4 linked regions of the Anolis sagrei genome follow. The protein of the gene in region 1 interacts with the protein of each later gene in a pairwise test. Links are inferred from orthologs where the notes say so. Each region holds a gene or a part of one and is shown on either strand. Other genes may lie near its edges.

Region 1 (6,917 bases):
TATATATATGAGTATATATGTATGAGGGTATATGTGTGTTTTTGGATATATATGCAAATGTATACAGGTGCATATATGTCTATATGTGTGTGTATAGACACATGTATATGCATATGTGTATGCAGATATATATGTATGTATAAGTAAAGGTAAAGGTAATCCCCTGACATTAAGTCCAGTCATGTCTGACTCTGGGGTGTGGTGCTCCTCTCCATTTCTAAGCTGAAGAGCCAGCGTTGTCCATAGACACCTGAAAGGTCATGTGGCCAGCATGACCGCATGGAGCGCCGTTACCTTCCCGCTGGAGCGGTACCTATTGATCTACTCACATTTGCATGTTTTCAAACTGCTAGGTTGGCAGAATCTAGGGCTGATAGCGGAAGCTCACGCCGCTCCCTGGAATTGAACCTGCGACCTTTTTGGTCAACAAGCTCAGCACCTCAGTGCTTTAACCCACTGCGCCACCGGGGGCTCCTTTGATTGTAGGCGAACTATAATTCCCAGCACATGGAATGTGTGTGTGTGTGTGTGTGTGTATATATATATGTCTCTATATATGTAGGTATATTTGTGGGTGGGGATTTTAATATATGCATATATGTATAATTGTATATTTATTTATTTACGACATTTCTATGCCGCCCATGAGGTCTCTTCCAACTCAGGTGCATGCATGTCTCCATAAATCTCTATGTCTCTATATGTGTGTATGCGCATATATGTATGTGGGCATATTTGTGTTTTTGTATATATATGCAAAAGTACACATATGTCTATATGTGTGTGTGTGTATATATGTGCATATTCATATGTATATGTGTATGCAGATATATATGTTTGTATATGTTTTGTATATGCGTATACAGATTCATGCATATGTATATATGTCTCTATATATGTATATATATTTGTGGGTGAGGATTTTAATATATGCATATATGTATGATTGTATATTTATTTATTTACGACATTTCTATGCCGCCCTTCTCTCCCCGAAGAGGACTCAGAGCAGCTTACAAGATATATATACATACAATATATTATATTATCAGCATAGTACAATATTAGCATTAAATATTAAAGATGGAGGGGTAGCAACCCTTCTCACCCCGAAGGGGACTCATATAAATAGACAGCTAGGCATATACAAGCCCTATGAGAACAAGCCCTATGAGGAGCGGCTTAAAGAGCTGGGCATGTTTAGCCTGAAGAAGAGAAGGCTGAGAAGAGACATGATAGCCATGTATAAATATGTGAGAGGAAGCCACAGGGAGGAGGGAGCAAGCTTGTTTTCTGCTTCCCTGGAGACTAGGACGCAATGGAGCAATGGCTTCAAACTACAAGAGAGGAGATTCTATCTGAACATGAGGAGGAACTTCCTGACTGTGAGAGCCATTCAGCAGTGGAACTCTCTGCCCCGGAGTGTGGTGGAGGCTCCTTTTTTGGAAGCTTTTAAGCAGAGGCTGGATGGCCATCTGTCAGGGGTTTTTATTTGTCGTGTCAGAGCAACCAGTCCATTATATATTACATTTCTAACAGAACAAAGCAAACAGACAGAAAAATACACATCTTGTGAGTTTGGTAGTTGGTTAAATGTCCTTTGACCAGTATCTGGCCACTTGGAGTGCTTCCAGTGTTGCTGCAAGAAGGTCCTCCATTGTGCATGTGGCAGGGCTCAGGTTGCATTGCAGCAGGTGGTCAGTGGTTTGCTTTTCTCCACACTCGCATGCCAAGGATTCCACTTTGTAGCCCCATTTCTGAAGGTTGGCTCTGCATCTCGTGGTGCCAGAGCGCAGTCTGTTCAGTGCCTTCCAAGTTGCCCAGTCTTCTGTGTGCCCAGGGGGGAGTCTTTCATTGGGTATCAGCCATTGGTTGAGGTGCTGGGTTTGGGCCTGCCACTTTTGGGCTCTCGCTTGCTGAGGTGTTCCAGCGAGTGTCTCTGTAGATCTTAGAAAACTATGTCTAGATTTAAGTCATTGGCGTGCTGGCTGATAACCAAACAGGGGATGAGCTGGAGATGTCTCCGCCTTGGTCCTTTCACTATTGGCTGCTACTTCCCGGCAGACGTCAGGTGGTGCAATACCGGCTAAGCAGTGTAATTTCTCCAGTGGTGTAGGGCACAGACACCCCGTGATAATGCGGCATGTCTCATTAAGAGCCACATCTACTGTTTTAGCGTGGTGAGATGTGTTCCACACTGGGCATCATAGCGCAAGGGCAGATGTCTTCACTGTGTCTGGTTGTGATCCCCAGGTTGTGCCAGTCAGCTTTCGTATGATGTTGTTTCTAGTGCCCACTTTTTGCTTGATGTTCAGGCAGAGGGGAAACAAACAGGCACATGAAATCACTCTAAACAAAAGATTCCCCCCAGGCGCTTCTAGGCCATTGAATGCTAATCAAGGTGGTCAGTTGAAACATTCACACCTCGCTCCAGCAGACAAGAGTCCTTTGTCCCACCCTGGTCATTCCACAGATATATAAACCCATTTTCCTATTTCCAACAGACCTCACTACCTCTGAGGATGCTTGCCATAGATGGGGGCGAAACGTCAGGAGAAAATGCCTCTAGAACATGGCCATATAGCCCGAAAAAACCTACAACAACCTTATGTAGATATATTTGTGAGTGTGGGTTAATATGTGCATTTGTGTATGTGTGTATAGATAGACATATATCAACGTGTGTGTGTGCATATACATATATGTGTGTGTGTGTGTGTTTCCAGCAGTAGCATTATGCAATGAGCTGTCCCAGCCTAGGCCCTCTTCCCCACCCACCCCGTCGGATTGAAGGCCCGACTCACAGGTTGATGGTCCTCTCGAGGGTGAGGGGCTTGCTCTGCTGGATGTACTTGTTCCCGAACTGGTTCACCCCTCGGGGCCAGCCGGTCTGGGAGCGGTTGGGCGGCACGACGGACATAATGGAGGCCCACGCGGCGGAGGCTCAGGAAGACACCGGCATCCCCCACCAAGCCTTAGCCACCCCGCCAAAGGCCGCGCCGGAAGACTAGGCCGCACTTCCGGCGAAGAGGCCATTCCCGCTTTCCTTTACACTCGCGCGCGCCACGCAGCCAATCAGAGCGCGTGCGGCGGGCTGAGCTCTCTTCCTATTGGCTGTCAGGAATCAATACTACGGACTCCTTTGAGTCGATAAGCACCAACCTTTACCCTCTCATGGACGCGCAGCCAATCGGAACGCGCGAGGCGGGCTGAGCTCTACTCCTATTGGCTGTCAAGGATTGATACAGTCTCCCGCGGCACAGCCAATGAAAACGCGCAAGGCGGGCTGTACTCCATTCCTATTGGCCGTCAGGAATCGATACTTAGTTCCCATTGGTTGCTATAGCGCCGGCATCTCTCCTTTTAGCAACCTTTCATTCCTATTGCCTGTTACCGCGGCGCAGCCAATGAAAACACGTGAGGCGGGCTGTACGCTACTCCTATTGGCAGTCAAGAATCGGTACTGCCTCCCGCGGCACAGCCAATGAAAACGCGCGAGGCGGGCTGTACTCTATTCCTATTGGCTGTCAGGAATCAGTACTTAATTCTCATTGGTTGCTATAGCGCCGCCATCTCTCCTTTTGGCAACTTTTCATTCCTATTGCCTGTTACCGCGGCGGAGCCAATGAAAACGCATGAGGCGGGCTGTAATCTATTCCTATTGGCTGTCAGGAATCGGTACTTAATTCCCATTGGTTGCTATAGCGCCGGTATCTCTCCTTTTGGCAACCTCTCATTCCTATTGCCTGTTACCGCGGCGCAGCCAATGAAAACGCGCGAGGCGGGCTGTACTCCATTCCTATAGGCTGTCTGGAATCGGTACTTAATTCCCATTGGTTGCTATACCGCCGGCATCTCTCCTTTTGGCAACCTCTCATTCCTATTGCCTGTTACCGCGGCGAAGCCAATGAAAATGCGAGAGGCGGGCTGTACTCCATTCCTATTGGCTGTCTGGAATCGGTACTTAATTCCCATTGGTTGCTATAGCTCCGGCATCTCTCCTTCAATCCTATTACCTGTTAGGGTTAGCCCATTCATTATCTATTATAATATAAACGTAATTTTAGGAATATATATTTATATATATATATATTAAGACTTCCAATTGATTTTACCATATTTTAAAACTATATAGTATACCCTCACTGGATTAGAATAGCAGTCCAATTTGAATCTCTTTTAATCCACCTCCCCCGGGCTCATTTGGTATGTTCCAAATCCTAGCACGCTGATTGGTCAAGCGGTTTTAGGCCCCGCCTTCGCGCTGAGGCAAACCGGAAGTAGGCCCAAACAGAGGGGAAAGCATGAGCGTGCGGCAGCGCAAGGCAACTGTGGCGGGAGAGGCGGCCAAGAAGCGTCTCAAGCGGGAAGAACGGGCCGAGTTCTCCGCGGCGCTGAGGGAGAAGGACCTGAAGGAGAAGGCGGGCGCGGCCTGGGCCCGGAAAGAGGCGCTGCGCGACGGTAAGGCCGCCTTGGGCCGCAGAGTGGAGGGTGAGGCCTGGCGCCAGGCAAACTGGGCCCGCAGTCGAAATTGTTGTCGGTTTTTAAATATATTTTTGCTCGTTTAAATATTTTCTAAGTCATAGAATGTATTTTATTTATTTATTTATTTAGCAATTTTGTATACCGGTCTTCTTCTCCCCTCTGTTGGGGGACTCGGGCCGGTTTCCAACAATAAAATCACAAAACAATCATTAAAAACATCATATAACATAATCCAATTAAAACGTAACAGCAAAATGCAATCCCATAATAACAATGGTCAGTCGTCATAGTGAATTCGTTGTCCGTCATTCATCGTCATCTCTGGTTGCTTCTGCCTATGATACTGTGAACCACCGCCTCCTCCTGAGAAAAATGTATAATATTACAAAGGACGACCACCTCACCCGCGTCATAGGAAACCTGCTACAAAACAGGAGCTTTTTTGTTGAGTTCCAGGGCCAGAGAAGCAGATGGCGGAAACAGAAGAATGGCCTGCCTCAGGGGAGCGTGCTTGCCCCATCCATGTTCAACATTTACACAAATGACCAGCCACTGCCAGAAGGGACAGAGAGTTTCATCTATGCTGATGATCGTGCCATTACTGCTCAAGCAAGGAGCTTTGAGATGGTAGAACAGAAGCTCTCTGAAGCTCTAGGTGCTCTTACTGCCTATTTCAGGGAAAACCAGCTGATCCCTAATCCATCTAAAACACAGACTTTCACCTCAAGAACAGACAAGCATCCCGAGCTCTGAGGATCGCCTGAGAAGGAATCCCACTGGAGCATTGCAACACACCCAACATACCTGGGAGTCACTTTGGACCGTGCTCTGACCTACAAGAAGCACTGCCTGAACATCAAGCAAAAAGTGGGTGCTAGAAACAACATCATACGAAAGCTGACTGGCACAACCTGGGGATCACAACCAGACACAGTGAAGACATCTGCCCTTGCGCTATGCTACTCTGCTGCTGAGTATGCATGCCCAGTGTGGAACACATCTCACCACGCTAAAACAGTGGATGTGGCTCTTAATGAGACATGCCGCATTATCACGGGGTGTCTGCGCCCTACACCACTGGAGAAATTACACTGCTTAGCCGGTATTGCACCACCTGACATCCGCCAGGAAGTAGCAGCCAATAGTGAAAGGACCAAGGCAGAGACATCTCCAGGTCATCCCCTGTTTGGGTATCAGCCAGCACATCAATGACTTAAGTCAAGAAAGAGTTTTCTAAGATCTACAGAGACACTCGCTGGAACGCCTCAGCAAGCGAGAGTCCAAAAGTGGCAGGCTCAAACCCAGAACCTCAACCAATGGCTGATACCAAATGAGAGACTCCCCCCTGGGCACACAGAGGACTGGGCGACTTGGAAGGTGCTGAACAGACTGGGCTCTGGCACCATGAGATGCAGAGCCAACGTCAAGAAATGGGGCCACAAAGTGGAATCCACGACATGCGAGTGTGGAGAGGAGCAACCCAGTGACCACCTGCTGCAATGCAACCTGAGCCCTGCCACATGCACCATGGAGGACCTTCTTGCGGCAACACCAGAAGCACTCCAAGTGGCCAGATACTGGTCAAAGGACATTTAATCAACTACCAAACTCACAAATTTTGTATTTTTGTATTTTGTCTGTCTGCTTTGTTCTGTTAGAAATGTAATATAATTGACTGGTTGCTGATGACTCGATAAATAAATAAATATCATCATCATCATTTAATCTCTCATTAATCACCCTCCATCCAAGATGCTCTAGGCGATTTACAAGCTTAAAATTATATGCCACCCTTCTCACCCCAAAGGGGACTCAGAGCCACTAACAACACACACACACACACACACACACACACACACACACACACATATATATATATATATATATATATTCTGTTCTTATCAGTTTAAAAAGATTTTCTTGATGAGTATCAAGCAGTTGTAAGCCGTGCCAAATCCCCTCTGAGAAATGGGGCAGGGTATAAATAAATAAAAGTTTTTATTATTATTAATATTATTATCAAAGTTGATACAAAGAATCCAGAATACCTGATTAAGGAAATGTTCCTCTTCTGTTTTTCCTCCAGAGGCTGTTGTGCTGGACCCGGCCCCTTTCCCTCACTGCGTCATCACAAACTTCATCCAAACCGAAGGCTTTTTGGAAGGGCTGCAAAAGGAGCTTTTGAGCCTGGATTTCCATGAAAAGTGCAATGACTTGTACAAATTCAAACAGGTATGTTATTTGGTAATCATCATTAAAGCACTCTGTGATGTTGGGGTTCGAGCATTGAACCGGGTTTGAATCCTTCCTTGATGTTCAATTCCCCCTCCCCCCGATATTTTTGAGGTTACAAAAAAAAAATAACCTGATTTATTCATGATTTCTAACTTGTTTCTAGCACGAGGTTTGAGAAGTATAATCTTTGCCACAAA
Region 2 (7,041 bases), on another chromosome or scaffold:
AGGAGCTCATAGTGGACTATAGGAAGAAGAGACCGAAAATTCAGCCCTTGCCATGAATACTTGGTTTGCATGCTTTAGAAAAACACCTGTGTTCACTGGTAAACCCCTAGCTTTACTGGAAAACGACCTATAAATTTATTTATTTTATTATTTATTTACGGCATTTATATGCTGCCCTTCTCACCCCGAAGGGGACTCAGAGCGGCTTACAATATATATTTTCATACAATATATTATATTATTAGCATAGTACAATATCAGTATATATTACTATATTGCATTATACCATTATATTGTAATATTATTAGTAATATTACATGTAATGTAAATATATAATTATAATATTGAATTATTACTAGTATTATATTGTATTACATTATAATATCATATGTATATACAATATACTATATTATATTATCAGTAAAGACAAGATGGAAAATTATTATATAGTACAATATAATATATAATACTAATATTGTGCTATGCTGATAATATATATACACATTTAATATGAATAATAGTATCTAATGTAATACAAAAGAATACTAATATTGTGCTATGCTAATAAAATAATATATATACATATAATAGTATTATATATAATGGCACTCCATGCAGTCATGCTGGCCACATGACCTTGGAGGTGTCTATGGACAACACCAGCTCTTTGGCTTAGAAATGGAGATGAGCACCACACCCAAGAGTCAGACATGACCGGACTTAATGTCAGGGGACAACCTGACCTTACCTTAAAATAATAGTATTATAACTTGAAAACAACATATACATTATCTTGTGATTTAAAACTGTGGCACCTGTACCCTAATCCTATAGCCTTCTAGACTAGCACTTGATATCTCCTCGCCTCGTGGTAATAACGCATAAGACCACTTTTACTAGCAGGCTTATGTTTGGCCTGTGGGGGAAGGGTGATTGGGAAACTGTTTTAATCTGTTGTATTCCATCCATGTTTTAACTATTTTATAATTTGAAATGTTATATTTATTATTTGTATTAATATTGAGACATTGAATTTTGCTATAATTTGTAAGCTAATCTGATTCCCCTTCAGGGTGAGAAGAGCAGGGTAAAAATATAGTAAATAAATAAATAAAAATGTTATAGAATACTATCCTAAAATTATATACATTTTATAATAGTATTATAAAGTAATACAATCTAATCCTAATAATACAATATATTAATGATGTGCTATGCCAATACATTTATTTATTTATAGTATTTATATTTCACTCTTCTCACCCCACAGGGGACTCAGGGCAGATTACAATGTACATATACGTGGCAAACATTAAATGCCATAAGCACACAACATATATAGACAGGCACACAGAAGCTATTTAACATTCCAGCTTTCATGAGGGTATTCTGGCCACCAGGGGAATTGTCGCTTCACCATCCATTAGTGACAATGGAGTACTTCCTCATAGAATCATCGAATCAAAGAGTTGGAAGACACCTCATGGGCCATCCAGTCCAACCCACTGCCAAGAAGCAGGAATATTGCATTCAAATCACCCCTGACAGATGGCCATCCAGCCTCTGCTTAAAAGCTTCCAAAGAAGGAGCCTCCACCACACTCCGGGGCAGAGAGTTCCACTGCCGAATGGCTCTCACAGTCAGGAAGTTCTCCATTCTTTTTGCATAGTCGCTGAAGATTTTTATGGCGTCGTAAATTAGTTAAATTAGCCTCCCCGCATAAGTGGTGCCTAAATTTCCTACTTGACAGATGCAATTCTTTCGGGCTGCAGAAGCCGACAGCAAGCTACACAACAGTCGGAAGCGCACTCCGACCCCGGCTGGCTTCGAACTCATGACCTTTTGGTCAGTAGTGATCTTAATGCAGCTGACTCCCAGCCAGCTGCACTACAGTCGGTGCAATACATACACAGAGTATAATTTTAAGTTGTCATGTTTTTAATTGTGAGCCACTTTTGAGTCTCCTAATGTAGAGATGCAGTGGGTTAAACCCCTGTGCCAGCAGGACTGAAGACCGACAGGTCACAGGTTCGAATCCAGGGAGAGGCAGTTGAGCTCCCTCTATCAGCTCCAGGGGACATGAGAGAAGCCTCCCACAAGGATGATAAAACATCAAATCATCGTCCCCTGGGCAACGTCCTTGCAGATGGCCAATTCTCTCACACCAGAAGCGACTTGCCGTTTCTCAAGTCGCTCCTGACATGGCAAAAAAAGTGGGATGCAAGTTAATAAATATTAACCTGCAAGTATCTGAAATTTTCAGCAGCTACCTGATATCTGCTCTCATGAGCTAGAAGCTATTCATTGAATCCCTTGATATTGGCAACCCATCAGTATCCCATTACGAGGCACTTACAAAAGATCCCAACGCTGATACTGGCCATCCAACGAAAACCCAGTGATAAATGTTGGGATTGAATTTACCTTTGCAAACAGGCCAGGCCAGAAAGGTTCCACATTGACGCCTGCTGCTTTGATGAGAGCATTGATCTTGTCCTCCTAAAACCAAAGAATATGACATAGTCAGATACTATAAAGCAGGTTTATTTGGATGCAGGCATGGGCCGGTAGGCTGTTAGGAATTGTGGGAGTTGGAGTCCAAAACCCCCGGAGGGGAGGGCCCAAGTTGGCCCATGTATTAGCTCCGCGCATGCGCCCTCGCTCTTCCCAAGTTTGCCCATGCTTGCTTCCCAGCATTGCCTCCACGCATGCGCCCTCGCTCCTCCCGTTTGCCTTTGCATGCTTCCCAGCATTGCCTCCGCGCATGCGCCCTCGCTCCTCCCCGGCCTCCTTCCCTACTTCAGGCACTGACCGTGATGGCAACCTCGTCGTCGTGGAGGATGAGGGCGGAGTAGATGCAGGCGAGCTCGGAGACGGAGGCCATGGCGGGTCCGGAGAGGGGAAGAAGAGGGCGCGGTGCTGGTCGCCGGCTGGAAACTCGGCCTTAGCTTCGTCGGAAGGACGCAGCACCTTGTGCGCTCCGGCCTGAGGCAGAACAAGGAAAGGAAGGCCTCGCGCCCGCCGCGCCGCTTATCAAGCCCGTCTCGTCCAATCAGCAGCCGCCTCGGGACAGCGCGCTGGCCAATAAGCGACTCCTTTGTGTTTCTCGAGGGCCAATCGCGTCAGAGAGCGAGGGTGGGCCTCATGGGTTGGTCGGCCGGGTTTGCGCGAGAGTTCGCGAAGCCAATCAGAGCGAGGCATGCTCCCCGGTGAGACAAAACCGCGTGGTGTGAAAGCAAGAGCGTCCAATCAGCGAAGGACTTGTTGGCGCTTATAGAGATAGAAATTTTAAAGATGGCCACCGGGAGATTCAGGCCTTAAAGCGCCTTAGAGTTATAGAGCGTGTTCATAGAATCAGAATCATAGAATCAAAGAGTTGGAAGAGACCTCATGGGCCATACAGTCCACCCCATTCGGCCAAGAAGCAGGAATATTGCATTCAAATCACCCCTGACAGATGGCCATCCAGCCTCTGCTTAAAAGCCTCCAAAGAAGGAGCCTCCACCACACTTTCAATTAAAAACCTTATAAGGCAACTTAAAACGTACCAATATACAAAATAAAACAGTATTATCATTATATATTATTGTATATTATCAGTGGTATAATAACTAATATATTAATTAGTGGTATATTAATATTATACCAATTATAATTAATATTCTTATGTATTATTATAATTAATATATTTCTATTATATTGTATAATTATATTGTGAAGATTGTATACATTACAATATTATTTATAATATATGTCTATACAATACAATACAACCAGAGATATGTAGTCACCTACGGATGTGAGAGCTGGACCTTAGGGAAGGCTGAGCGAAGGAACATAGATGCTTTTGAGCTGTGGTGTTGGAGGAAAGTGCTGAGAGTGCCTTGGACTGCGAGAAGATCCAACCAGTCCATCCTCCAGGAAATAAAGCCCGACTGCTCATTGGAGGGAAGGATACCAGAGACAAAGTTGAAGTCCTTTGGCCACATCATGAGGAGACAGCAAAGCCTAGAGAAGACAATGATGCTGGGGAAAGTGGAAGGCAAAAGGAAGAGGGGCCGACCAAGGGCAAGATGGATGGATGGCATCCTTGAAGTGACTGGACTGACCTTGAGGGAGCTGGGGGTGGTAACGGCCGACAGGGAGCTCTGGCGTGGGCTGATCCATGAGGTCACGAAGAGTCGGAGACGAATGAACGAATGAACAACAAAATACAATACAATATTAGTGTTATATATATTATTATATAGTATAATATTGTCTTACTATTAATATAAGTTTATACAGTATATTAGCATAGCACAATATTAGTATTATACTATACGTAGTATATTATACTATATATACGGTGGCGCAGTGGGTTAAAGACCAGGAGGTCTCTTCCAACTCTTTGATTCTATGTAAACCCCACTTGCCTAGTTTCCAATAAATCTCGCAAACTCTGAGGATGCCTGCCCTAGATGCTGGCGAAACGTCAGGAGAAAATGCTTCTGTAACATGGCCATACAGCCCAAAAAACTTACAGCAACCCAGTGAATCTGGCCATGAAAGCCTTCGATAAGACAATAGAATCAAAGAGTTGGCAGAGACCTCATGGGCCATCCAGTTCAACCCCATTCTGCCAAGAAGCAGGAATATTGCATTCAAATCACCCCTGACAGATGGCCATCCAGCCTCTGTTTAAAAGCTTCCAAAGAAGGAGCCTCCACCACACTCCGGGGCAGAGAATTCCACTGCTGAACGGCTCTAATAATAATAATTGTGCAGAAGCCATTGTTATTATGTTTGTGTTTAACTGTTAGAGTATGTATTTTTGTTTGTAACAGTAGCTAAAACTGGAGTCATCTGGTTTGAATCCACAGTGAGCGTTGCCAAGGAGACGAGGCTGGCTAGCTCATGAGAGGGAGAAGTGAGCGGAGCCAAGCAGGAAACGTTATGTGCGTTTTTAAAAAAGGCCAGAGAGTGAGGCTTGGAAAGGCCTGAGAGAGAGGCTTGTGTGTGAGCGGCTGGTGTTTTTTCAGTCTAGGAGGGCTGAAGAAACCTGGCCAGATTCTTTAGTCAAAGAAGACAAACGGAAGCCTAGTTAAGATCCCTAGTTAAGGAAGGACTAGAGATCAGAGATTTGATCGAGGGAAGATCAAATTGAAAGGCTATTTGTAGTAGTGAAACATTGTTCACTAGAGAGCTTCACTTCAGTGAAAGTTAGCCACAAGCTGTGTTATTTATTTATTTATTTATTTATTTACTGTGCTTATATACCGCTGTTCTCAGCCCGGGGGCGACTCACAGCGGTGTACAACATAGAGAGGACAGGGTGCAAATTACAAGACACAATCTAAAATCAATCTAGCAATAACAAAAAACATCGTCATCAACAACATCAACAATATCAATAATACAAAAAGCCATTTGCGTCGTCTCATCGTTAAACCACAATCCAGTATCATTTTCCGTTGTTCCATTCCTGTCGTCATTACCAATTATTGCACTTCTTGTTCGAACGCCTTCTTGAACAGGCAGGTCTTTAGTTTCCTGTGGAATATCATCAGGGAAGGAGCCAGTCTGATGTCCATGGGAAGGGTGTTCCACAGCCGAGGAGCCACCACCAAGAAGGCCCTGTCTCTTGTCCCCGCCAGGTGTGCCTGTGAGGCAGGCGGGATCGAGAGCAGGGCCTCCCCGGACGATCTCAAAGTCCCCGTGGGCTCGTAGGCCAAGATGCGGTCATATAAGTATCTTGGGCTGGAACCGTTTATCTGGAAGAGTGGACTGTATTATAAACCACATGATGTTCAAAGTTCCATAAGTTATTTAACAGCCTGCAACTATAAGCTTTGTACACAATAAAGTTGTTATCTTTGTTGAAAACCGTCTCATCTCAACTAATCTGCGTCTGTAGAGCCAGATCTCATCGGTGGTACCTCAAACTGTTGGTGGCCGTTACCTTAATTTACAAATAATAATTGGCCTCCTCCATAATATTCTCTTCTACACCATTGAGGCCTGAGGTAAATTCCCTCCATAACACCCACATCTGTACAGTTGGTGGCAGCGGTGAGATTAAAAAGTGCCTGAGGTAAAATACTTCCATTATTAGGACCTCAGCAACACACAAGCACCTCCTCGCAACTGGTGATAGCGGTGGGGATCTTCAAAGCTAAAATCCCTATACCCTGTCCATTGTTGAGTTCACATCTTCCCAATAATAATAATGAGTCTTGTTTTCTATTTGTTTCGTGTGAGCGAAAAGCAGGCCCACTTGAGGGTGGCTCCGAGGCGGGAAACCCTGAGGAGGGTTGTTTGAGGGAAGAGAAGGCCGCATCTCTGAGGGCGAGGCCTGGTGGAAGTCCTGAGGCAAGAGCGGCCTCCCTCCCTCCTTCCTTTCTATGACTATATATATATTTATTATTTATTTATTTATTAATGCACTTGTATACCGCTAATATCTCAGCCTAAATCGGCGACTCATTGCGGTTTACAACATTTAAAAAACAATATTCAGTTAAAAGCATAAAACACATATACAGTACAAATTATTGGGCCACCAATAACAATCCTATGCATCTCATAACTGGAATCGTAATCCAAAATTCATCGTCCGTGTATAACCAATCCTTAGTCATCACAATTCGTTACAACGGATTAACCGAATGCTTGTTTAAACATCCATGTCTTCAATCTTTTCCGAAACACCATCAGCGAAGGGGCTGATCGTACCTCTATGGGGAGGGTGTTCCAAAGCCGGGGGGCCACCACAGAAAAGGCCCTATCTCTCGTCCCCGCCAGCCGAGCTTGAGAAGCAGGCGGGATCGAGAGCAGGGTCTCCCCGGAAGATCTCAAACTCCTGGTGGGTTCATAGGCAGAGATGCAGTCAGATAGGTAGCTTGGGCCGGAACCGTTTAGGGCTTTAAAGGCCAACGCCAGCACTTTGAATTCAGCCCGGTAGCAGATCGGTAGCCAGTGGAGTTGGCGCAACAGGGGGGTTGTATATATATAATCATAATAATAATACTACAGTGTGTGTGTATATATATATATATAGTA
Region 3 (7,734 bases), on another chromosome or scaffold:
ACCCCTCACCACAGGCTATGCCGAATTATTGCAGAAGGAATCGTAACACAACAAACATCTGGATGGCCACATATTCCCTAGCTTTGGGGTAATGGAATACTGCTAGACACAAAGGTCATTGCTTCTTCAAGAGCAAGGGGAAAAATCATTTTTGCTAACTTGTGATGCTCCCTTTAAGGTATTGTTCTGTCTTCATCCAGTATACCCCAAGTGGCACATTTATTACAGTTTGCAGTATGTGGACTGTGCAGATTTAATCATATAAGTAATTAAGAAAGCATGCAAAACTGGCAGGAAATCTTTTAAATTTAAGAATATGTCAGCAAAATCCTTAAAATGTTCATGCACAAATCATGCAGCATGTCACATACCAAGAAGACAACGAAGAGGCCCATGCAACCTTAAACACCAACACATCTATTACAGCATGTACTCTGGTAGTATATTGCCCACTTTCTCTGATACAAAAAATTCAGCGCTATATATATGAAAAAGAGAAGGAAGATTCTTGTGATATCTTTAACGATTTGATTTCAGCATACCTTTTGGGGGATTCATCTTATATCAAAATAAATTAGTTTTAAAGATGCCACAAGATCCCTTCCTTCTTTTAATACCAGCACTAAGTACATAGAGTTGGATGCGTGCTGCATTTATACTTCTGGCCAAGCATCTGAGAAAGTAGGCAAGAAAAACAAAAAGCTCATGATATAATAAAATGATCCAGTCTTTTGAGGTGCCACGAGCTCCTTTCTCTTTTTGCTGTTCCTTTGAAAACTGTCTCTAAGGAGGGAATCATGCCTTAGAAACAGGACATGATACCCCAATTCCCTTTCTAAATGCACACCTATTACAGCAATTTGAATCTCGGGGCATACCACAAGGGGCAGAGAAAAATTCAACTAGAAACAGAGCTTGACTGCTGCTCTTAAGACCTCTACACTTCGAAACTTCCTTCTTTGCCCAGGAATCTCTCTCCTCATTTACTCCGTCACTTGGGATCCAGGCAGGAATGTACCAGTAAGGCAGCTCCCAACCCTGCCTGCTCCAAAATGAGTTTCTTGCCCATATAAGGAAACCAAGACAACATATACTAGGCACCCATTTTGGCTCATTTGAAACCTCTTCCTTTCAAGCAGAGAAGCAAGCAGTTAAACAAAAAGTTGGGAGGTACAAGGCCATCCCCCAAGTCTTCCAAACTCTCCCAACACAAGGCAGGGGGTGAGAAAACCCTCCTTCCAAATTCAGCTGAATTCTGGAGAGGGAAAGCACCATTCCACCCGCCGTGTTCAATCATATCCTGTCTTTTTGCACAACACCCAAAGGGCCCCATTGCTTCAGAGAGCTGCCTGCCTGAGCCAATGGCATTCCAGTTTCAAATATGCACACTGAGCAGACTGAAAAGCAGACAGGCATCTAGCAATGGAGTGCGAAAGTGAATAATCAGAGGGATCTGGGTGGGTCTGCTCCCAACCGTTTGAACCAGGAAATACCATAACACACTCGCCATACCCAAGTGGGAGGAGGACAGTTTGCAGGCTAATCCTTTAAAAGCCTACGCAGAAGAGCCAGGATCAACTTTTAGAGAAAAGTAGAAGGCTCCTTAACATGGGAACAGGCAGCTCAACAAGGCCCCTTTCTACACTGCCATATAAAATCCATGTTACCTGCTTTGAACTGGATTATATGGTAGTGTAGACTCATATAATCTAGTTCAAAGCAGATAATGTGGATTTTCCGCTATGATAATATGGATTATATGGTAGTGTAGACTCATATAATCCAGTTCAAAGCAGATAATGTGGATTATATGACAGTGTAGAAGGGGCCCAAGATGAGAGAAGCCACACTTAACACTACATGCAGCTGGCTCTCTGTACCCATGGATCCTGCATCCACGGCTTGGAACTATTCTAAAAAAGCAACCTTTGAGTTTACCATGGGATATTTATTACGCTTTTGTGTCTAATAGGCCTTGAGCATCCATGAATTCTGGTATCCTGGAACCAAACCCCAGTGGATTTTTTTTATGTGCCAGGAGCTACTTGAGAAACTGCAAGTGGTTTCTGATGTGAAAGAATTGGCCATCTGCAAGGACGTTGCCCAGATGTGTTACCATTCTTGTGGGAGGCTTCTCTCTTGTTACTGTTAGTTCAATGCAAATGGTATGCACCAGAAGTTTAGTCACATTATTAGCAACAGGGACAAATGCTGAATTAGTCATATGAAGTCCAGTTTCCTCAAACACACACACAACTCACCATGAAGAGTCTGTGATCAAGGGTGAGGAAAGGTGGGAAGGAGAGAAAAGCTAGAAGAAATGGAAAGGAAAGGTGGGGGAAGAGCCACGAACCCAAACAGGCCTGGAAGGGGATCAAACGTGAGAAGACTCCACTGAATAATTAATGCAGTTAGGCATGACTTCAACTGCCCTGGCTCAAGGCAATGGGATCTTGAGAGCTGTAGTTTTGCAAGGTTTTGAGCCTCCTCTGTGGAAGAGTGCCAAAGTACAGCTGCCAGCATCCCACAGCATTGAGCCAGGGCATCTGAAGCGGTGTCAAGCTGCCTCAGTTCCCCAGTGCAGAGAGATGCGCCTGAGGAGAGGGGCTCTGCCTGGTGGCACCCCGACTACTTCCTCCTCCCTCTCATCCCCTCCAAAAAGAAGGAATAGCGGGGCCTACCTGCGGTCTGGTCTTCGGAGAAGTCACACTGCAAAGGAAACACAACCAGAGAGGTCACTTAAGGGGCCTTCCCCCTCGCAAAGCCCACGCCGCCCCTGCCTCATCCCTGAAGGTGACCCGGGATTCCTGGGGCAGAAGCCGCACCCTGAAGCCCCCACCGCTCTCCCCTCAGGCTCCCCCAACACAGGCGCTCCAAAGCCCCCCAAAGCTTGTCGCCCCTGCCAGGCACTCACCATGGCGGCGGCAGCGGCAACAGCAGCAGAGAGTTCCTTCCTCCTGGCCGGCGTTCGGACAAGTGGCACCTCCTTCCGCCCTGGGCGCGAGCGAGCTCTCTCCGCCGGTTGGTCACGGGGAAGAAACGCGTCCTCTGATTGGCTGGACGGGAAAGGCAGAGGGCGGGGGGAAGGGCCGCGCTCCAAGGGGAGGAGCCTCCCCTCCCACTTCTCCAGGAAGTGACTGCAGTCGGCCTCCTTTTTGCCTATAGAAGGGCGTCCCGGCCACCAAGCGCGCGGGGCGGTGGCTCGCGGCGGGGAGGCCGCTAGGGATGCCGGGAAATGTATTCGCCAGAGGCAGGAAAACTTGTTCGAGGCCTTGCTGCTCAGGAGCCCTGAGTTTAGAGTAGTCAGGAGGCCAGTCAGTGTCCTGTGAAGGAACACATTGGAGGGCCTTACAAGTGCCAGTAAGGAGGCACCTTCACTGTGGAAAGTGTGCAATTTGACGCCACTTTGACTATGTATTGTCCGAAGGCTTTCATGGCCAGAAGTGCTGAGTGTTTTCTGGGCTGTGTGGCCATGTTCCAGAAGCATTCTCTCCTGACGTTTCTCTCACATTTATGGCAGGCATCCTCAGAGGTTGTGAGGTCTGTTGGTAACTAGGAAAATTGGGTTTATATATCAGTGGAAGGTCCAGGGTGGGAGAAAGAACTTCTGTCTGTTTGAGGCAAGTGTGAATGTTGCAGTTGGCCACATTGATTCGCATTTAATGGCCTTGCAGCTTCAAGGCTTGGCAGCTTCTTGCCTGGGGGATCCTTTGTTGGGAGGTGTTAGTTGGCCCTGATTGTTTCTTGTCTAGAATTCCCCCTTATTTGAATGTTGTTCTTTATTTACTGTTTTAATTTTAGAGCTTTCTTCCATCCTTGTAATTCCATAGATATTTGTTGTTCATTCTTTTAGTCGCTTCTGACTCTTCGTGACCTCATGGACCAGCGCACGCCAAAGCTCCATGTCGGCCGTCACCACCTCCAGCCCCTTCAGCGTCAAGCCAGTCAGTTCAAGGATACCATCCATTCACCTTGCCCTTGGTCGGCCCCTCTTCCATTTTCCTTCCCAGCTTCATTGTCTCCTCCAAGCTTTCCTGGCTTCTCATGATGTGGCAAAAGTACTTCATCTTTGCCTCTAATATCCTTCCCTCCAATGAGCAGTCAGGCTTTATTTCTTGAAGTATGGACTGGTTTGATCTTGCCATCCAAGGCACTCTCAAAAATTTCCTCCAATACCATAGTTCAAAAGCATCTATTTTCCTCACTCTTCCTTATGGTCCAGTTCTCATATCCGTAGGTTACTACGGGGAATCTAAACCCAATTTTCCTAGTTTCCAACAAACTTCACAACTTCTAAGGATGCCTGCTGTAGATGCAGGCAAAACATCAGGAGAGAATGCTTCTGGAACATGGCCATACAGCCCAGAAAACTCACAGCAACCCACCACTTTGACTGTTCAGTTCTGTAGCATCTTGGAAGTTGTAGCTTTACAAGATCTTGAGCCTCTGCTGAGAAGGACCTCACCAAACTTCAGACACCAGAACTCCATAGCATTGAGCCACGTACATTAAAGTGGTGTCAAACTGCATTCATTCTACTGTGTATTTGGGCCTTGAAATATGATGGGGTAGACCCTGGACTGCAGTAATGCTTAATTATAGGTGAACCTACATGGAATTCATTTCCTCCTGAGGAGGGATGCATGGTTGCTATTCCCATTCTGGACATGTATTGCTGCTCTTGAAAGAAATAGGACGCTGAGAAGGTTTGTTTGAACTCTTGGAACAAAACACAAGAATTCAGAAATTTGGAAGTGAAATTGAAATTCAAACTCCTAATCTAGTAATCTGGAGATAAACATCCTGGTATAAAAATTCCATCTCTGGTAGGGACTTTTGAAATGTTAATGTCTACTTGGCACCTAGGTAGATGAGGAACCTAACTTAAATAACACTGGCCAACACACATTTTGGTGCCTCGAATCTTACACCTGTTTCTGAGTATATTCGTTTTGCTGATTACAAAAACGGCACCAGATTCTCTTTATCAGCTCTAGTTTTTGATACAGAACATATGCCATCTACCAGTTGTCATCTGCTCACCTACAGACAAATGTAATAACCATATCTGTAATAATTAGATCTGATGTGGCCTACCCAATGCCATTTTCTGAATCGGCGCCCCAAATAACCCCAGGAACAGGCCTAATAACCAAGACACCAAGAATATTGTTTTTGGATTGGACTGTGTAATTGATCCCATTGATGTGGATAGAACAGACTTTCTTCCAGCTAAATATTTTTATATTATTGCTGATGAAACCTACTGCATTTTGAGCAGAGAGAGCCTGCATCATGGATGGAATATGTGTGTGTCACAACTGTGTCTCATTTGCCCTTCTAACTTAAATTATATTTGTATAGACATTTTAGTGGTAACACCTGTCTAGATCTGAATAATATGTTCTACCTATATATACTAAATATATATTTGGGGAAGGAGAAAGAATGGAAAAGATAAACAACTGACTAATCCTCCCATACAGGCTTGTATTAATGTTGTGTCTTCAAGTAGTTTCTGACTAACAGCAAGTCTAAGGCTCTGTCAGAATGTTTTCATGTTTGGAGGGGCTTTGCCTTTCTCTGAGGCTGGGAGAGTGTCTCCAGAGTAATAATCCAGTGCCTAAACCACTACACTACGCTAGGTCTTGGACTCTTATTGTTGTTATGAATGAGAGACCTTCAAGCCAGCCTGTCACCAAACACCCTGCTCATGTAGTTTGTTCTCAGAGACAGATCTCATTGTCTATTACTACCTCATGTTAATAATACATATATAGATGATATCAGTAAGAAGCATACTACAGAAGTTTCCATGTAATGTCTCTCAGCCCTACAGTACATGGCACAGACAATCTAATTAATTGTGGAAGGCTTTCACGGCCAAAATCACTGAGGTGTTGTGTGTTTTCCAGACTGTATGGTTGTATTCTAGCAGCATTTTCTTCTGACATTCAATCTGCATCTGTGGCTGGCATCTTCAAGTATCCTTTCCATACAACCTGGAAACCACACATTCCAGTAATTAATTGTGATTGTGGGGATGTTGATATATTGTGGTTGTGGGGATGTAGGAATATAAATTAAGTTTTATTATTATTTATTATTATAACTCTCTTCTTGGTGCAGTTATCAGGCTTTAAATAAATATAAGGCGTTCAAGGAATCAACATGTATGGCATAGAAAGTACATACCTTTTCATTTTCAGGAGGCAAAACACTTCTTGGCTTTATTGATTTGTTCTAAAGCACTGAACCATATAGGCATGAAAATTAACAAGTGGATGGAGCCTGACTTTTTTCCCCTGCTGTCCAAAAATATAGGAGCTCTCTGGTTTTCATTCAGTTTCTCAGCATTTGAGTACAAGGAATGTGACAAGGAATGCAGTGACAAAACAGAAACTAGAAATATCTGAAAATCAAATTTTTTATTGTCCAGAAGGGAAAAAATTGTTTGTGTCTGCAGTCTCATAGATTTTGGTTCTGTACCATTTCAATGGTGCCCCCTTCTGGTTCAATGCGTGATCTTTCACTGATGTCCCCACATTGTAATATAAATAAGATTACTTTTCAGTCTAGATTGGCTGAGGAGGGCGAAGGGACTCATTGCAGACTTTGTTTACGCAAAGACAGATAGAAAAGGAATATCAACTGCACTGGGAAGCAAAGGACTGAGGAGTCCTGCTTGAGAGGTACAGCCATTCAGCACCATTTTAAGCAGCTCTGCGGAGAAAAAGATTAGTATGTGATTCTAATGTTCCTAAGGATCAAATGCTGACAAGTGTTGCTAAAGAAGAGCATGCAGCAGCAACTGATATATGAAGAAGTAAATGCCCAGCATAGTCTCATTTGACTTTATCTGTTGTGTCTTGGCAAACATTGGCACAAGTAAATAGTACTGCACTGATTGTACTGGTTGAGCATCCCTTATCTGGAATTCTGAAATCCAAAATACTCCAAAATCTAAAATTGTCCACATAGATTTCTGAGATAGAAAGCACCTTTGCTTTCTGATGGTTCAGTGTACACAGACTTTGTTTCGTGAACAGAAGCATTTAAAACGTACAATATTGCCCTCAGTGAATTGTATAAGGTGTATATGAAATGGTTACATGTTTAGACTTTAGTCCAGTCTCCACAATGTATCACTACACACACACCTACACACACACACAAATATAGATATTTCAAAATCTGAATAAATTCAAAATACCATACTTCTGATCCCAAGCTTTTTGAATAAGAGATACTCAGTCTGTATATGAATATTTGGGACTGTTTCATTATCTGGGCAGACTTCAAAAGGGAGCCTAGACAGACTAAGGATAGTCAATTTTATTGGGGGGGGGGGAGTTGAAGAAGGAAAACAATTTCTCCCATTTTCACTGGTTATACCCCCCCCCCCTTTTCCCATATGATAAACAATAGTTGTTTCGAGGACATCAACATGACTGGGGGGTATAACAGGAAAACAAATGGTTTAACTCCTTCAACCCACTTCCCCCTGTAATATGGACTATCCTTCTCTGTCTAGAGCTCCCGTGTGGCCTCTACCCAGGTAATGGAACAGTACCAAATATTCTACACCTTGAAGAATATTGTCTTTTGTCATTCAAGACAAAATATAAATGTAAAAGATGGTTTTCTGCCATCTGAAGAGACATTTTTAATAAGGGTTTAATATCTACACAGTTTGCTTTTATTTACTCTTATTGCCTCATGTATCACCCAAAA
Region 4 (7,200 bases), on another chromosome or scaffold:
ATTAGCTGAAGTTAACCTAAAGTTGAAGAACAACAAATGTGGTCATCCAAAAGTAATGAATGAAAATAATTACACATTCCGTATGGCTGATCTACCCCATAGGACCCTGTCAAACATTACAAAGCAACAAACCCCAAGACTTCCCTCAGTCTACGCCAGTGGTTCTCTGCCATAGATGTGGGCGAAAAGTCTGGAGAGAATACTTCTGGAACAGGGCCACACAGCCTGTAAAACTCACAGCAACCCAATGATTCTGGCCATGGAAGCTTTTGATAACACAAGATATAAACTGCCATATAATCCAATTCAATGGAGATTTTATACAGCTATGTGGAAAGGGCCTCATCTACACTGCCATATAAAATCCAGGTTATCTGCTTTGAGCAGGATTGTATGGCAATGGAGACTCATATACCCCAGTGCAAAGCAGATAATGTGGATTATCTGTCTTGATCAGTGTTTCTCAACCTTCCCAATGCCGCAACTCTTTAATACAGTTCCTTATGTTGTGGTGACTCCCAACCATAACATTATTTCCAATTTTAACTCTACATTTGGCCTCCCCACTGTTTTTAATTATGTGTTGTTTTATTGATAATGTTGTGTATCTTACTGGCTATGTGTTTTTTAATTGATTGTATTGTTGTTATTATTGCTTGTATTGTTGCGTTTGGGCTTGGCCTCATGTAAGCTGCACCGAGTCCCTTGGGGAGATGGTAGCGGGGTACAAATAAAGTGTTGTTGTTGTTGTTGTTGTTGTTGTTATTATATTACTATTATTATTTTAGTTGCTACTTCATAACTGTAATTTTGCTAATATTATTAATTGTAATATAAATATCTGATATGCAAGATGTGTTTTCATTCACTGGACCAAATTTGGCACAAATACCCAAATATGAATACTATTGAGGTTGGGGTGGGTGGGTTATTTTGTCATTTGGGAGTTGTAGTTGCTGGGATTTATAGTTAACTTACAATCAAAGAGCATTCTGAACTCCACCAACGATTGAATTGAACCAAATGTGGCACACAGAACTCCCATGACCAACAGAAAATACTGGAAGGGTTTTGTGGGCACTGACCTTGAGTTTTGGAGTTGTAGTTCACCTACAAAAATAGAGGGAGAAAATGTGGAGGCTGTGACAGACTTTGTATTTCTAGGTGCAAAGATTACTGCAGATGCAGACAGTGGCCAGGAAATCAGAAGACGCTTACTTCTTGGGAGGAGAGCAATGTCCAGTCTCGATAAAATTTTAAAGAGTAGAGACATCACACTGGCAACAAAGATCCGCCTAGTCAAAGCCATGATATTCCCTGTAGTAGCCTACAGATGTGAGAGCTGGACCTTAGGGAAGGCTGAGCGAAGGAAGATAGATGCTTTTGAACTGTGGTGTTGGAGGAAAGTTCTGAGAGTGCCTTGTACTGCAAGAAGATCCAACCAGTCCATCCTCCAGGAAATAAAGCCCAACTGCTCATTGGAGGGAAGGATACTAGAGACAAAGTTGAAGTACTTTGGCCACATCATGAGGAGACAGCAAAGCCTAGAGAAGACAATTATGCTGGGGAAAGTGGAAGGTAAAAGGAAGAGGGGCCGACCAAGGGCAAAATGGATGGATGGCATCCTTGAAGTGACTGGACTGACCTTGAAGGAGCTGGGGGTGGTGACGGCCGACAGGGAGCTCTGGCGTGGGCTGGTCCATGAGGTCACGAAGAGTCGGAGACAACTGAACGAATGAACAACAACATGTTATTGTTATTATTTATTTTTGTTTATGAGATTTATTTTACTGTTTTGTATTGCTTATTTTGTTACTGCCTTCGTTTTATTGATGTACTGTGGGCTTGGCCTCATGTAAGCCGCACCGAGTCCCTTGGGGAGATGGTAGCGGGGTACAAATAAAGTTTTATTATTATTATATTATTATTATAACTGCAATTTTGCTAATATTATTAATTGTAATGTAAATATCTGATATGCAAGATGTGTTTTCATTCACTGGACCAAATTTGGCACAAATACTCAAATATGAATACTACTGGGGTTAGGGGGTATTGAGTTTGTCATTTGGGAGTTGTAGTTGCTGGGATTTATAGTTAACTTACAATCAAAGAGCATTCTGAACTCCACCAACGATGGAATTGAACCAAACGTGGCACACAGAACTCCCATGACCAACAGAAAAGGGTTTGGTGAGCACTGACCAACAGAAAATACTGGAAGGGTTTGGTGGGCACTGACCTTTAGTTTTGGAGTTGTAGTTCACCTACATCCAAAGAGCACTGTGGACTCAAACAATGACGGATCTGGACCAAACTTGGCACAGATACTCAATATGCCCAAATGTGAACACTGCTGGAGGTTGGGGGAAAATAGACCATGACTTTTGGGAGTTGTAGTTGCTGGGATTTATAGTTCATCTACAACCAAAGAGCAATCGGAACCCCATCAATAGAATTGGTCCAAACTTCTCACACAGAACCACCATGACCAACAGAAAATTCCTGATGGTGTTTGGCGACCCCTCTGACACCCCCCCCCCCTCGACCTCCCTCCCCCCCCCCCCGGGGTCCCGACCCTCAGGTTGAGAAACGCTGGTCTTGATTATCTTGGGACCTTCCTGTCAGGCTGTTTCGGCCCCACAAAAGGCCGGCGGAGAGGAGAGGATACGGCGAGGAGGGGGAGAAAGCGGCCCAGGCCCGGCGCCCCAGACCCTGCGGCAGGGCGCTCTCCGAGAGGCCCTTCCTGAGGCCTTCCCCTTCGCGGCCTCGGCGCCAGGCCTCCGCCGCCCGCTCGGAGCCGCTGGAGGGGTTGCTGCCGCTTCTGCCGCCGCCGCCGCCGGGCTCCATCCATCCACCCCGCTCAGCCCGCCGCCGCCGCCATCGCCCTCTCGAAGGCCTCGCTCTGTCTTCCCCGAAAGGGAACCTCAGAACCAGGCGCCATCGTAGCAACCCGCGACGCTACTTCCTTCGCAACGGTAACCAAGGGAGACGGCGCGCGCGACCGGCGATTGGATGGAGCTAATCCAAAATGGCCGCCGGGAAAAGGGGCGGGGCGACAAGGAGGGGGCGGGGCCCGGAAGGCAGCCTTTCAAAACAATCCTAAGGCACTGGGTTAGCTTGCGACTGGGGCCAGCCAAAGTGTTTCCTTTGGACTTCATTTCCCAGAATTCCTGACCATTCACCCAGGTGACTGAGGCTTCTGGGGGTTGAAGTCCAAAGAAAACCTTGACAGCTACAGTTTTAAAGCCATGGTGCTCATCCAGGTTTTTTTTAAAAGACTTCATTTCCCAGAATTCCTAAACATTCGCCAAAGGGACTGAGGCTTCTGGGAGTTGAAGTCCAAAAGGAATAGTTCCCTATTGGGTTGTTGTAGGTTTTTTCAGGCTGTATGGCCATGTTCTAGAGGCATTCTCTCCTGACGTTTCGCCTGCATCTATGGCAAACATCCTCAGAGGTTGTGAGGTCTGTTGGAAGTAGGAAAAAGAGTTTATATATCTGTGGAATGACCAGGGTGGGACAAAGGACTCTTGTCTGCTGGAGCTAGGTGTGAATGTTTCAACTGACCACCTTGATTAGCATTTGATGGCCTGGCAGTGCCTGGGGAAATCATTCCACAGATATATAAACCCTTTTTCCTAGTTCCAACAGACCTCACTACCTCTGAGGATGCTTGCCATAGATGCAGGCGAAACATCAGGAGAGAATGCCTCTAGAACATGGCCATATAGCTCGAAAAAACCTACAACAACCCAGTGATTCCGGCCATGAAAGCCTTCAACAATACAATAGTTCCCTATGTTTTGTCTTCCAGAGTTTTCAGTTCAACTTCCAAAAGCACCAGCCAATTTAGACAACTGCCAGGATTTATGGGAACTGAAAATATTGGAGACTTCTGGGAGTTAAAGTTCAAAATATATTATTATTATTAATAATAATAATAATAATAATAATAATAAAACTTTATCTATACCCCTCCACCATCTCCCCAAGGGGACTCAGGGCAGCTTAGATGAGGCCAAGCCCAACAGTACAGCAAATATACAACATAAAATACAAACATTATGCAACATATAATGAAAATAAAAATAAATACAAAAACAATATAAATGAACACACCAAACAATATAAAATCACAGTAATTGGCCATATAGTACTAGCATTTCAAAGCAGTGGTGATTCTAGGGTTTTTCAAGACTTTATTTCCCAGAATCCTAAACATTCGCCTAAGTGACTGAGGCTTCTGGGAGTTGAAGTCCACAGACCTTGATAACTCCAATTTACAATTGTAATGCAATGGTGGTCCTTCCAGGGTTTTCAAGACTTCATTTCCCTGAATTCCTAAACATTCGCCTATGTGACTTAGGCTTCTGAGTCCAAAATATATACAGTACTAGCACTTCATAGGCAATCTTTGGTCCTCCAGGGCTTTTCGGGACTTCACTTGCCAGAATTCCTGATCATTCGCCCAGGTAACTGAGGCTTCTGGAAGTTGAAGTCCAAAAAACCTTGACAGCTAGAGTTTTAAAGCCATGGTGATCATCCAGGGTTTTAAGACTTCATTTCCCAGAATTCCTAAACATTCACCAAGGTGACTGAGGCTTCTGGGAATTGAAGTCCAAAATATATAGAGGACTAGCATTTGAAAGCAATGGTGATCCTCTAGAGTTTTTCAAGACTTCATTTCCCAGAATTCTTAAACATTCACCAAGGTGACAGGTTTCTGGGAGTTGAAGTCCACAAACCTTGACAACTCCAGTTGTAAAATAATGGTGGTCCACCAGGGTTCTCAAGACTTCATTTCTCAGGATTCCTAACCATTCGCCAAGGTGACTGAGGCTTCTGGGAGTTGAGGTCCACAATGTATAGAGGACTAGCATTTGAAAGCAAGGCCCTCTCTCTCATTCCCACCAACCAAGCTTGAGATGGAGGTGGAACCAAGAGAAGGACCCGGGCAGGTTCGTACAAGGATATGCAGTCAGCCAGGACCTGAACCATCTAGGGCTTTAAAGGTCATAACTAGCACATTGAATTGTGCCCAGAAACAGGCTGGCAACCAGTGGAGCTGCAGCCACAGTGGGGTTGTCTACTCCCTGTAGCCAGCCTCAGTGAGCAATCTGGCTGCAGCTGTTTGGACCAGCTGAAGTTTCTGAGCACTCTTCAGAGACAGCCTCACATAGAGTGCATTACAGTAATCCAGACAGGATGTAACTAAGGCATGTACAGAGAGTCCCCAGTGCCAAGGGCAGTTTCTCATGAGAATATTCCTGCTGGGCCTAGCAATGATGGTTCACTCCCTGTCCCTGTGAGCTCTCAAGATTTGGGTTTGGAAAACAATCTGACACCTGGGCATTTTAATGAGTAGCCAGATAGGGAGTTGAAAATAGGCGGCTGGAGATCAGTCAGAATTGACTGCAAACTCAGTATTTATGTCACTCTGAAAGGCTTCGTCTGATAAAGGGCAAATGTGGGGGAAAGCGAAACCAATTTCTGGGTTTTGGGATACAAGGTTTGCTTCAAGGGAAAACTTGTTAGATCAATCATCGTTTGGAAATCAAGTTCATGTGCAATGGAAATCCTGTTCCTGTGGAGTTTTTTAAGCCTTTTTGATTGTCATTGCATCCTGTTGATTCCTGTCTGGATAAACACTGTCTTGGATTGCTTTTATATCTTGTGTGGACATTGCTTTGTGTTACTGCCTTTTATGGACATTACTTTTTGGAACCTTCCTATTTTCTTACAAGCATTTATTTCTTCTGGCTATTTACTAAGCTTCAATAAAAGAAGATTTGTTTCTTCACTCTTCGCGTGGTGTGTTTTAAAGTCAGAGGGCTTTTTCCTGACCTGGAGTGCAACAATAAGCTCCTCCACACCATAATGACCATCATCCCATCCTGCACAGAAAACAAGATCCAAAGTGTGTCCTGCAGCAAGGGTAGGGGAAGACACCACCTGGGAGAGACCCAAAGTTGTCATGGAGGCCATGAGGTGGAATCCTTTTTATGTGGAAGCCTTCACTTTACATCAAAAGAGGGTAGAAGGAATGAAGACATTCAAAGATCCAAGAACAGGAAAGTCCGTTGTAACATTTCCATACTCAATATACTTCTTTCTTTTCTCCTACTTCCCACTATGTGAAGAAGAGGAGAGGAGATAAGGACAAGTAGTGGATAGATTAGATGGCAAGCTTCAATGGATCAAGGAGGGTCTCCAGATACATCTTTTAAACATTTAGAGATAATGGTCAGAATGGATCTAGTAACAACTGGTATGTTTATTTAAGTATGCTATATTTGCACCTGTTAAAAAGAATACAATAGTTATTTCCCATTAAGGAACAATTGTACAGCATTAATAGCTGGGCTGTGGATAAAATTGTTGAATGATGTACAATTCCTTTGGAGATCAAACCATATTTGGTTTACTTAAAACCATTTATGTAAGTGTTCTGAACTTGAAACATAAAAGGGCTGGCTTTCTGGCCAATGTTTGTGTTGTACACATTCCTGAATTCTTAACTCAAGATTTCATCAGTGAGTGGCCAGTGTTTTTCGAGGCAGTTAGAAATCTTTTGAAAACTTTCATTTTCTTCAACTCAGAGATGATCTACCCCAATGCATCCTCATTGATCCTGCTAAATGTTCTCTTTTTCATTTGGGCTGATACTGTATTTGGTAATGTCAAGCCATGTTCTGCAAAGGTAAGGTTTAAAATGAGTTGTCTTAATAAATTAATACACTCTAGTGACTTGAGACAGCAATACTATTTTTGACTCTCTCTTTCTGGATTGGGAGGGGTATTGCATATAGAGAGAGTAGATGAGTTGCTGTTGAAAAGACTTTGTTAAAAGTAGTGCAGTTTACTAAAACTAGTAGACTTTTATTAAAGCTAGTGTTGTGGCAGAATAAAATTAAAGCTCTCCTCAAATTACAGGGAGTTTTGCCACAGACAAGACCTTTTTAACTAAGTTACTAATAAAAGTAGAATATAGATACATTTAATATGGGTTTGTAATGTTTGGATCAATTTCTAGATGCATGCCAGTGTAAATCCAAAATAACTGTTTTTCTGTACATTTTACTTGTGTAAGAGAAAAACACTCTTATCCATTTAATCTGGGTAAACTTTTGCAATTCTTTTTCATAAATCTGGGAGGGTGAGTCTGGGTTTGTGCAGAATTTTTGGAAATAGTTTTGATTT

The links.
Region 2: the proteins of NUDT21 (region 1) and RPLP1 interact in a two-hybrid assay, tested with the Homo sapiens proteins (2 studies listed by BioGRID and IntAct). The link is inferred for Anolis sagrei from reciprocal best matches to the Homo sapiens genes NUDT21 and RPLP1.
Region 3: the proteins of NUDT21 (region 1) and MYL6 interact in binary tests that used the Homo sapiens proteins (3 or more experiments, as listed by UniProt). The two-hybrid records come from large-scale screens. The link is inferred for Anolis sagrei from reciprocal best matches to the Homo sapiens genes NUDT21 and MYL6.
Region 4: the proteins of NUDT21 (region 1) and CEP126 interact in a two-hybrid assay, tested with the Homo sapiens proteins (2 studies listed by BioGRID and IntAct). The link is inferred for Anolis sagrei from reciprocal best matches to the Homo sapiens genes NUDT21 and CEP126.

The regions. Positions count from the first base shown.
Region 1 is NC_090028.1:6,630,680-6,637,596, reverse strand, and holds the start of NUDT21 (cleavage and polyadenylation specificity factor subunit 5), read right to left. Parts: upstream 3,027-6,917; 5' UTR 2,921-3,026; coding exon 2,805-2,920; intron 1-2,804. Other genes in the region: prolyl 3-hydroxylase OGFOD1, read left to right, coding at 4,305-4,461, 6,572-6,717. UniProt on the Homo sapiens protein: Component of the cleavage factor Im (CFIm) complex that functions as an activator of the pre-mRNA 3'-end cleavage and polyadenylation processing required for the maturation of pre-mRNA into functional mRNAs.
Region 2 is NC_090024.1:10,970,818-10,977,858, forward strand, and holds the start of RPLP1 (large ribosomal subunit protein P1), read right to left. Parts: upstream 3,026-7,041; 5' UTR 2,885-3,025; coding exon 2,813-2,884; intron 2,500-2,812; coding exon 2,425-2,499; intron 1-2,424. UniProt on the Homo sapiens protein: Plays an important role in the elongation step of protein synthesis.
Region 3 is NC_090022.1:138,221,388-138,229,121, reverse strand, and holds the start of MYL6 (myosin light polypeptide 6), read right to left. Parts: upstream 3,018-7,734; 5' UTR 2,918-3,017; coding exon 2,915-2,917; intron 2,710-2,914; coding exon 2,682-2,709; intron 1-2,681. UniProt on the Homo sapiens protein: Regulatory light chain of myosin. Does not bind calcium.
Region 4 is NC_090023.1:22,936,154-22,943,353, reverse strand, and holds the start of CEP126 (centrosomal protein of 126 kDa), read right to left. Parts: upstream 3,021-7,200; 5' UTR 2,851-3,020; coding exon 2,672-2,850; intron 1-2,671. Other genes in the region: ANGPTL5 (angiopoietin-related protein 5), read left to right, coding at 6,602-6,700. UniProt on the Homo sapiens protein: Participates in cytokinesis. Necessary for microtubules and mitotic spindle organization. Involved in primary cilium formation.